Linked DNA regions of Saccharomyces cerevisiae S288C. Changing the gene in region 3 together with the main gene of any one other region gives a genetic interaction. Each region holds a gene or a part of one and is shown on either strand. Other genes may lie near its edges. The genes, in order: RGL1, RGD1 and BNI4.

The links.
Region 1: mutations in BNI4 (region 3) and RGL1 impair growth when combined (synthetic growth defect), as found in Saccharomyces cerevisiae (4 studies listed by BioGRID, with this or other methods).
Region 2: mutations in BNI4 (region 3) and RGD1 impair growth when combined (synthetic growth defect), as found in Saccharomyces cerevisiae (4 studies listed by BioGRID, with this or other methods).

Annotation. Positions count from the first base shown.
Region 1 is NC_001148.4:424,368-427,967, reverse strand, and holds RGL1 (Rgl1p), read right to left. Parts: upstream 1,736-3,600; coding exon 296-1,735; downstream 1-295. Other genes in the region: ESCRT-I subunit protein VPS28, read right to left, coding at 1-41; HTC1 (Htc1p), read left to right, coding at 2,121-2,717; YPL068C (uncharacterized protein), read left to right, coding at 2,872-3,600. UniProt on the Saccharomyces cerevisiae protein: Regulator of RHO1 signaling that acts as a cofactor required for the efficient localization of the TUS1 GTP exchange factor (GEF) for RHO1 to the bud neck during all phases of cytokinesis.
Region 2 is NC_001134.8:732,803-736,639, reverse strand, and holds the start of RGD1 (GTPase-activating protein RGD1), read left to right. Parts: upstream 1-2,000; coding exon 2,001-3,837. Other genes in the region: glycine hydroxymethyltransferase SHM1, read right to left, coding at 1-376; MIC12 (Mic12p), read left to right, coding at 600-920; TAE1 (N-terminal protein methyltransferase), read left to right, coding at 1,110-1,808.
Region 3 is NC_001146.8:209,938-213,774, reverse strand, and holds the start of BNI4 (Bni4p), read right to left. Parts: upstream 1,854-3,837; coding exon 1-1,853. Other genes in the region: YNL234W (uncharacterized protein), read right to left, coding at 2,262-3,542.

The DNA.
Region 1 (3,600 bases), on a different chromosome or scaffold from region 3:
ATATCCTGGTTTTGGTTTAATTTTATATTGTGTTTTTGCATGGGTGCTTTTGAGTGATAAGTGACTTTATGAAAGTGCCCTTATTTTAAACCCATGGGGCCGTTGTATTGTTAAACCATAACTTTTTTTTTTTTGCCGGACGCTATAGTCTTTTTTTCTCTTCATGTAGAAAATTGAAAAGACCAGAGTGCGGGACAAGAAGAATATAAATATATAATACATTAGCATTATTCAAAAGCTTTATAGATCTACGTATCTGCGTTGATTTAATATATGAACCATGCCAATCACTGCCTCATTGTATGACAGGTACTCTTCTCAATTTAGAAGGATCCGTACGACTAGGGTCCTTTTGCGAGTATAATATATTAAATCTATTATTTGTTTCTGGGTCGTTAAAATTATAAATTATTGGCGGCAAGGAGGGATACTCTAGACAGTTCGAGCTGTTATTGTTGTTGCTCGTGTTCTTGATTCGACCAAAATTTTTATAAAACTTCTTGGCAAATTTAGCAGTTTGTCTTTCTTGCAATATTAGGTTCTCGATTAGCGGCAATTGACTTACTGACCAAAACGATATGATTAGGGGGTGATTAATTTCGAAGTTTTTCAGACTTTTATTGAATTTGAACCTTATTGAAAGATAGTGAGAAACATTAAAATGTTGACCTATCGTAGTTATCGAACTATGATATTGCAGAGGAATGTCGTCGATTTTGTTGATTAATACTTTAGTTTCGGGACAACTCGACTCAGAAGATCTAAAGCTTTGTAAAATTTTGTCCTTAGTGAATATTTTTAGGTTGAATTGAAAAATCATTGAATTCATGGAGATGATTTGATCAACCTGTCTTACAGAGGTTTGCAAAATATTTGTTGTTTGCGTGGATGAGAATTCTGATTGGTTCTTCAGAATTTCCAAGTATTCTAGTATCTGTGTTGTAATTGATTTCAATTTGAGCTTGGACTTAAACTTTTTCTTTGTGGAGAAAAGTGTCGGCGTGGACACATCAAAGTCATTCGAAGAGGGAGTTGTGGCATTGTTCGGAAATGGGTTCAGCCTGATTGATATGGAGAGTTTCAACGTGTCATTATTCATAGAAACACAGGGATTCTCAATGGAATAACTAATTAAGAACTTTTGATCGGGAGAAGTGATGTTTGATCTGTTTATTGGCCTGAAATATGACGGTGAAGGTAGGTATGTATACCTTTCGACGTTTACTGGGTAAAGAAAATTTCTTTTCTTATTTGAGCTTCCTCCGCCGACCTCTGTATAAAACACGGTACAATCCAGGAAAGTCTGCGTTTTGCCGAATTTCGGATTATAGTTTGTTTCTTTGATGTCGTCAGGTAGCCCAATCGTCAAAGGTATGTCTATGCCAATAAGATCATTGTTGAGATCGTCGCCATCATGGGTAGGGTGGGATAACACGATGTTTTTCTTATAATGAATGCTGATGTTCTGGTTACTGGTGTCAGAATGGCCATTAGAGGGGTCCGACGGACGATTAAATGGGGTGAAAGAGCTGTTATTGCTGCTATAAAGGTTTTTGTTGAAATATATTTCAATTGTCTTTAAAACAATTTCGATCTTTACCAATTTGAATGGCAAAGAGTTGTTTGAGCGCACTCTTAACTGGCATTCGATTCGTGGTAACGTATCAGGTAAACCGGGGCAGCCCCGTATTACAGAATTGTAGCTTGGCTTTAGTGATATAACTGGGTGCGTCATTTTCACTTCTTCGATTCTTTATCAGCTGTTATATACCCATAGAAAACCAAGGTGAACAGAAAGCATCCCACAAAAAAGTGTCGGAGCAGTGATGACCGTGACAGCTGAAATATTGAACTAATATTTCACTCTTTCTGTCAAACTAGCGCGCTTTTGGCAATCTCCATTTTCCTTCTTTTTTTTTCCGTTTTTGTTATACTAAACAACTTCGGGGCGCGTTATAGATAGAACGACTTATACACATCTATTTTTACGTACTTATATATGTATATAAATGGATGGTGAGAGTAAGATGCTCTTGTTTAGTAGGCGTGAGGCTAAGGACGCCAGCATGCTGTATATATTTGTATTGCACTTGATTTACTTATAACAGCTTAGGTTTACAATGCAACAAGATATCGTCAACGATCACCAGGAGGAGGCCCAAGGGTGGAAGTGGGAACAAATCAAAGAGATAATTGAATCGGGGGAGCTTGCCCGTTTGAAACGAAGTCGCCAGATGACTGACAAATACCACGAGCATAAGAAAAGGACTGCTGGCCTGGACATGAACCAGTACGTTTTGCAAAAACTAGGCTGGTCGCTAGACGAACCGCAGCTCGAAAATGCTGCCGCGAAGGCTTTTAGTTCTTCTACTCTATATGCTGTGCGTGCCAACGATTTCCCGTATAACTTCGAGCCTGGTGTTGTACACCTTGTTCTCTGGTCCAAGGTTGCCCTGCCAGTACATTCCCCAGATAAGGCCGTGCGCGAAGCGGCCCGCGCTCGCATGAATGCATTTTTGCAGGCACAGCCGCTACTGCGTCCACTTCTAAGCTCGGGTCACGTGGCCTGGTTTGTCAACTACCCGGAACTACAAAGTGTTGCCCGGATTTTCCACGCTCACGTGCTGCTTTTCTTCCCACGGGAACGCTATTCCGCGGAACAGGTAAAAACGACCGTTGATGATATCCTTTCACACGGTTTCGAGCCACTTGCCTGATAAAGTTTTTTTTTTTTTTTTCAGCATGCCAAAATGCTACATACATTTGTTAATTATGTACTATAACCGATACTGGTATTAATGATGCGATGAGCTGATGAGACAGTAGATAAATAAAAGACGCTTCTACCTACACAAGCACATACAATATAATATGCATATGCAACTCAGGAAAAGAAAAAGGGTTGACTATTCAGGGAGAAATCAGACGTCCGATCCTCCTTCAACCACAACGGCAGCGGTACCATCCATTATTGTCCCTAAGAAGCGTAAAGTAGTCGCACAAAACATGGTTAGTCCAGCTATTCGAGCCACAACCACAACACTGGGCACCTCAAATATAATAATACCTAAGCCTCTGCAGCGCCCTAAATTCCACAATAGCGCCAGCCTATCTTCACCTGATGATGATCCCGAAAAGATCTCTGTATTGGAAGTTCAGAAAAATTTGTCCAATCTCATCAAAAGACAACAAAGATTATTTTATAAAGATATACATAAGCCGACTCTCGCCGGCTTGAAAAATTTCGAAATGTTAAGGCTGCCCAATGATCTAAAACTCCTACAAAACATCGTAAACCTATTATATTCATTCGAGCAATTAAACAGTGACTCGAAGACAAGACCAGTCACTACTTCCAAATTAAAGGCCTCCTCTCAAGCGCACTCAGACAAATTGAAAAAAATGCTAGCTGAGAGGAAACCTCCATTTAGCCACCCCAGTCACAGCGGCACTGCCTACCACAATGACATCATCCATGAGATAGCGAATTTGCATTCTATTAACCTGGTAGATTTGATTAATTTGGAAGTATATAATAACAATTGCCATACAAACAACACAGCGTTGCAAACTACGGCGAATTCGCTGACACTTAATAGC
Region 2 (3,837 bases), on a different chromosome or scaffold from region 3:
TTAATGGTTGAACATTAACTCCCCACTTGGCAGGGTCTAATCCGTACAGTTCCAGAGCTCTTGCTTGACACAAGGATTCGGACTTATCGATGATTTCGTTACCTCCGTAGTATCTTTCACCTGGATAACCTTCAGAATACTTGTTTTGGAGCTCAGAACCTAGCAAATCCATAACGGCCTTCGAGGTGAAGTTTTCTGATGGGATAAGGGTGATAGAGTGTTTTTGTCTGTGACGTTCTTGTTGCAAGATGTCAAACATCTCTGGATCTCCCTCCGAGACTGGTTTGGAGACTAGCGATTGTGCACCACTGGTGAGTAGCCCACGACGATGAACAGTTGCCATACATTTGGCCAATGCAGAAGCTCTGGGAAACATGATTGAAAGACTATGAGACTCGATGTGGAAATGTCGGCTTGATGATTTTTGATAGTTTGCTCTTCTCCAAGAGGCGATGGCTTTTAGTATTTTTTTTCTCATTGACCACCAATAAGCGAAGTACCTAAAAAAAAATAATGAGTCTTTTTTATATTCTATCTCTTGGACAGAAGGGGGACAGAACAGACAGTGGACTAAGAACCAGCAGATAACGGAGAGAATCATGTCGAAATTGGGTCCGTTAGCAAGATCTGTGAAGTGGACTCTCTCTGTGGGAGTAATCGGTTCTGTTTTTTACCTGTACCGATACAGTAACAATGGCTACTTCTACGATCACGATGCTACATGGTTGAAACAAGATCATCAGGTACAGGACCTGGTGGATAGAAAAGAAGTGGTACCTGGGGAGACCAGGAACCGCAAGCTAGTTGTGACGGATGATGGCACTGCATGGAGCAGGACCATGGGGGAGAGCATAAAAGATATTTGGAATGAACAGATAAGAAACTCTGTCGATTGGATCTACTCCTGGGGTAAGAATTAGCGAGCTTTCTATTTCTCCTACTGTAACGAACATCCTCATGTATATAACCTATTGTAACGACTCTGTGTAGAACTTTATATTCAGAAAAAATATCAAAAGAAAAATTTAATTATTAATCAGTACTTTTCACTCTGGTAATGTGCATCGGTGTCAAGAGCATCTCCAAGAAAGAATACATAAACAACAACGATGGACGTGCCTGCAGATTCCCATATCAAATACGAAGATGCCATCGACTATTGGACGGATGTGGACGCCACTGTGGATGGTGTTCTAGGTGGATACGGAGAAGGTACAGTAGTACCCACAATGGATGTCCTGGGATCCAATAACTTCCTGCGTAAACTGAAGTCGAGGATGCTGCCTCAGGAGAACAACGTGAAGTACGCTGTAGACATTGGTGCGGGGATTGGACGTGTAAGCAAGACCATGCTTCACAAGCACGCCGCTAAGATAGACCTTGTAGAACCGGTAAAGCCTTTTATCGAGCAAATGCACGTTGAATTGGCTGAGCTGAAAGACAAAGGCCAAATTGGACAAATATATGAAGTAGGGATGCAGGACTGGACCCCCGATGCCGGCAAGTACTGGCTGATCTGGTGCCAATGGTGCGTGGGACACCTGCCAGATGCAGAACTCGTCGCATTCCTGAAAAGATGTATTGTTGGTTTGCAACCTAATGGGACAATCGTGGTCAAAGAAAATAACACACCTACAGATACCGATGATTTCGACGAAACGGATTCTTCGGTCACAAGGTCAGATGCTAAGTTCAGGCAAATCTTCGAAGAAGCTGGCCTAAAGCTCATCGCCAGTGAAAGACAACGTGGCTTACCAAGAGAATTGTACCCAGTGAGGATGTACGCACTCAAGCCCATGCCAAACTAGGATCAAGGATGCATAGATTTATATAGATACGCCCCTTTTCTTGTGCTGGCATTCACCATTTGTGCCATTATATAGACTTTTTTTTCGATATATATGGAAAAAGAACCCAGAAAATAAAGAATGTGAACAAAATAGTATGTAAAGTAAAAACATACAATCTCGGAAGATTAAAAGAGAAGTGATATAGACAAGATGGAAGAGACTGCGAAGAAACCAGCTAGTGCCACAGTAAGTGCGAAGTCGTCGCACGATGGTGGCACCGACGATTTGGCGCACCTTTTTAGCACGCCAGAGATCAAGAAGGTGCTAAATTCCGATGTGGCAATTAACGCTTTGTTGAGCCGTTTAAAGCAGTCGTTGTTGACTTGTGAAGAGTTTATGAAATTTATTAGAAAGAAATACGCCTTCGAAGAAGAGCACGTTCAGGAGCTCTCCAAGCAATATAAGCACTTTTTCAACATTCAGGGTTCCACAAATTCATCCTTAAAAAAGATGATTCACGAAGTTTTGGGATTCGATGGCAAGATGGCTCAAGTAAAGCAGAGTTATATCACCGCCTTGCAGAAAATGTACTCCGAGATTAGTAGTCTTTTATTAACAATGACAAAATTAAGAAAGTCTGTCAAGGAGAACAGCAAAAGGCTGGAAAAGGATGTTTCTGATGCCATACACAGCGCAGAAAAGGCGCAATCTCGTTACAATTCGTTGTGCCAAGATTGGGACAAATTGAGGATGACTGACCCAACAAAAACAAAGCTGACCTTGAGAGGTTCCAAAACTACGAAGGAACAAGAAGAAGAATTGTTAAGAAAAATCGATAACGCCGATCTGGAATATAAGCAAAAAGTAGATCATTCTAATTCTTTGAGAAACACATTCATAACGAAGGAGAGACCTAGAATTGTTCAAGAATTAAAAGATTTGATTTTAGAAATAGACACAGCGATGACTATCCAATTGCAGAAGTACACGATATGGACGGAAAATTTGGTTCTGAATACAGGTGTTACAATAAGCCCATTGGACTCCACCAAATCTATGAAATCATTTGCTGGATCTGTTTCCAATGAACGTGATCTTTACAGTTTTTTGAACAAGTATAACCAAACAGGAAAACATTCCCTACTGATCAACAAAAACTTGATCCCTGTATCATACAAAAAGCATCCATCAATGAATCATGGTCAGAAAAATAAGAGCCCCCCAAAGTTTGCCGTGGACCCTTCAAGAAACTCCATCCCGAAGAGAATGATATCCACTCATAATGAATCTCCATTTTTGAGCAGTAGTAGTAACACTGCCGCTGTTCCGAATGCTAATCTTAACAGTGCTACACCGTCCTTAAATACCAACAAGCAGTTACCACCTACTATGGCTTCATCTATTTCTTCCACTAGCAATGCGGCTGGCGCTATGTCACCGTCTTCTTCCATTGTAACAAGCGACACCACATCATCCATAACAAAGACCCTGGATCCTGGCAACAATAGTCCACAAATTCCAGAAGAATTGATTAACTCTTTAGACTCGGATCGCCCGATTTCTCACATTCAGACTAACAACAATATGCCACCCGGTGTTCAAAAAAATTTCAAAACATTTGGTGTACCGCTAGAATCACTGATAGAATTCGAACAAGACATGGTCCCTGCGATAGTGCGCCAATGCATATACGTTATTGATAAATTTGGGCTTGATCAAGAAGGAATTTATAGAAAATCGGCAAATGTACTTGATGTCAGCAAGTTGAAGGAGGAAATTGATAAGGATCCCGCAAACATTTCCATGATTCTACCATCAAAGCCACATTCTGATTCGGATATTTATTTAGTAGGATCACTGCTGAAAACTTTTTTTGCGTCGCTGCCTGATAGTGTTTTACCAAAGGCCCTATCATCGGAGATCAAGGTTTGTTTACAAATTGAAGACCCAACAACAAGAAAAAATTTTATGCACGGACTAATATATAACCTCCCCGACGCACAATACTGGACGTTAAGGGCTCTTGTCTTTCATTTGAAAAGAGTGT
Region 3 (3,837 bases):
GAGGCCATCACTAGCTGGTCAAATTTTTGTTCAATAGACTCTAAAAATATGTCATCTTTTTTTAGTGGACCACTATCGTCCTTGATATCTAAAAAGTCCTCATTCGTGGTACCTTCGTAAGAGTGTTCTCTGGAGAAATTATCTGAGTATTCGAACCTTCCATTCTTTAAAATGCTGCTAGCAGGAGACTTCGTCAAGTCTGGAGTAGATAATACAACAGAAGATGCCTCAGTGATGAACATTCCCTCACTTTGCGCTTTGATCGATAGCGTATCTGTCAATGACCTTCTTTGCGAGTTCATTGAACTTCTCTTGTTAGACTTTGTAGATCTTGTTCTTTCTAAAGAAACGATCGAGTCGACTTCATGATTATCCAAAAATTTTGGGAAAAGAACCTCACCTGTATCGTGTTTGGAAAATGCTGGTGAGGGTGCTTCGTAGTCCAGTGATAAAAAATTATCCTTGGTTGGTAATTGAAGATCATTTTTGGCATCATCATCTTCTCTTACGTGTTCTTGTAGCGGGGTATTTATCTGTTTATCACCTCCCAATATGAGATCCATGTTTAAAGGAGTAGGTTTTCTCTGATCAATTGATCTCGTTACGTGATCTATTTTCACGGGAGTATCGTCGTGGTTTTTTCGTAGTAGAGGTGATTCAGTGGATAACACTGATGCGGCGTCAATTATTTGTTCAGTATCTTGCTTTTTGTCCTTGGATTTTGGGGTTCTTTTTTTTTGCCTCATTGGTTCCTTTCGAGGTGAGTCTGATGTTTCAATTTTTCCCTTTAGGAAGGAATTGAAAATGCTACTGCTACTGTGAGACTTCTTCTTTAGTTTTTCAGGCGTTTTTAAAGAGGTTTGAATATTCATTGAGAAAGTGCTCGATGAAGACATCTTATTTTTTTCATTCGTTACACTATTATTACCAATAACTGGTTTCGGTTCTTTCTTCTTCAGAAATGAAAATATACTCTTTTTCTTTTTATGCATAGAAGTGTCTTCAAGTACCGAGCCTGCTGAAGTAGTCCTTTGGGCAGAAGAATCAGTATACTTTCGCGCTTCTGCTTTGTTTAAACGAACTTTTGGGTTGTATAATTTACTCGAAGGAGGCGAGGGTTTCGGATCCTCTTTTAAAAATGGTGCGCTATGTGTTGTGCTTTCAGTTTCTGAATTAATGATAGTATTTTCCTCCCGCTTAACTGGTAAATTGTTGTCTCGTTCGAGAATAGTACGTCGTGTACTAACTTTGCTCCGAGGTCCCTGAGAATCAGGTTTTACTCTAGGAGTGGACAAAAAGTCAGGTTCTTCGAAAGACGGTAAACTCAAAGGGGCAACTTGAATACTATTGGATCCGTCAATGTCAATAAGGTTTGGAGAGGTCATCGCCAAGTTTTCATTTGCTTCCTCTCGTACAGACAGCCTGGATCCAGTTATATCCTCGTGATAATTGATCGAGTTGTTTTGCTCTTCGGCCTCTTCTTCTTCTTCTATTATGGAAGACTCAATATTTTGTGCCTTTCTAGTTTTTTGGTCAGCATATTTGGATCTTTCGTTCAGAATATCAGCCAATGCACTTAATGAGGGGGAAGTTGTCATATTTACCGTTTGTACTTCTGAGTCTCGGGCATTACTTTCTCCAAACGACCGCTGCAGAACTGAGCTTTCAACATCCCTATCAAGGACGGATTCGCATGGCTTTATTGATGAATTTAGACTTTGATCTGATATCTCCTTCAATATCAGAGAATTTCGAAAGGTTCTAGCATGATCAAGTGTATTTATCGACGTCGACGAATAAAAAGTAGAATTTAAAAGTTCTGAGGACTTTGAATCTGAAATACTATCCGACATATTCTGTTGAATACGTAGTGATATATCGTTATTAATAAAAACGCTGCTCGTACGGCTTTTGCACTCTGGTTGTTGAGATTTCTTTGTCAATTTATTTGAGTCGCTTTTCCTGTTGTTTATTTGCAAAGTCAAAACCTGTACTAATAAGCGAACTTGAGGGGGTCAACTCTAAGTGTGAGAATATTACACGTCTTGTTCTAAAGAAGATATAAAGCCAATCTGATTTCTTCGAATCTGAAATGATTTTTCATACTCGGGACGATAGAAGAGAGAAGTTGACTTGACGCGTCTCCGCTGACGCGCCTATATAAGACAAAGATTAGCTCGCGGGTAATAAAGAACAGGCAGTGATCTAAAGAATATATAATATAACCTGGGAAACTTATACACTTAATGGTACGGTTGTAGTTACATAATCGAGCAGTTCTTCTGCTGAGCAGTTTTTTGCAATAAATGGATTTTTTCATCATAATTATTTTTCTTGGTATTACTTTCCACGACGGTACTGCTACCGATGCTTGGTTTTGTACTTCCAGAGCCCTTTGGTGAGATTGGAGGCGTCGATTCACGGTCGCTTTTTATTGGAGTAGAAGAATTGTCTAAGAGTATTTCTGTAGGAATTTTATTTGTCGGTACTTGTGTTATATTATGAGGTATAGTAGCGTTTTTAGTTTTCACCATTTGTAGCTTGTTAACTGTACTTATATCATGCATCGCAAGTTTGGGAATGGAAAAATTTAAAACCACAGAGTCACCATTATACGAAAAATCTGGTTGAATCTTTTCCATTGGGTCCTTCCCTGCAGTAATCATACAATTTGCCAAATATGAGTAAAGTTGTCCCCATAGATTTTTGAGTTCCAGTGTGAGAAAAGATCCAAACCTGTCCTGCAATGTAGTCATAAATGCTTTTCCCATTACTTCGAAACCAACGGTTTTGATGCCGAGAATTCTGGAATGGCGTTTTCCTAATTTCACAATATAATCATCTAGGACATGAACGTTTTCAAGGTTGTCAATAGCAGAATCAAGGACCTTACAGAACGAAACTGCTTGATGTTTTAATGATGGAAAATATTCTTCTAACAAGGGATCCATTGCAATCAAATTGTCATAAAACTGTGAACAAAATAGTGCAGTATCAACCTTGTTATCATTGTCCCTTTGTTTTGTTTTACGTGGCCTGGCAGTAGGGTCAATAGTTTTGGAAATCATACCGTCAGGAGCAGTATTCAAATAGGGTCTTTCTGTTGAAGTAATATGTTTATTGGAATACAGAAGTGCTTGAAAAACTTTTAATTCTTTAGGTGTTAAATACTCCCTGAGGAGGATATCCCAGGACATTCGAAGTAACAGCAGATCTCTTGCATTAACTTTAAAGTCGAATCCTTCTGTATTCGGGGAGTCACCACGATCTATCTTGACCTGGTAGACACTACCTTCGGAACGTGAAATAGATTGTGGCATAAAATCGCTTCCGGAGTTTTTGGATGACATTTCACTTCTCATGGAATGATCATGAGAGCCAGGTCTCTCGTTTATTTTCAAATTATCGACTGGACCTATACTACTGCTGTTGTAGGAAGGCAGGGTTACGTTGTACATCATCGGTTTCGTATGGTGGACATTCCCGCTAGACATGTCGCTGTTGGTTAACAACTGCGAATGAAGTATTTTTTCTCCTGTCATACACAACCAGCTTATATGTGGATGAATGCAAACAACTGCAGCGGTCCGGTGGCGAGTCCCTTGAGGGGCAGACTCATATAAAATGGTTGCATAACGATTGCTATTTTTCAAAGGAACATTATTGCTCCGGCTCGTTCGAGCCTAAAAACCTTTTTTTTTGAAGAGGTTTTTCCGATGCCCCTTTTGCCTACGGAGTTTTCACTATCTGCCACGTAGATCGGGACATCTGCACAGAAAATTCCGTAGGAGAGAAATGCGTACCCTTGGTATTCTAGAAGAAAGAAATTCCAGACAC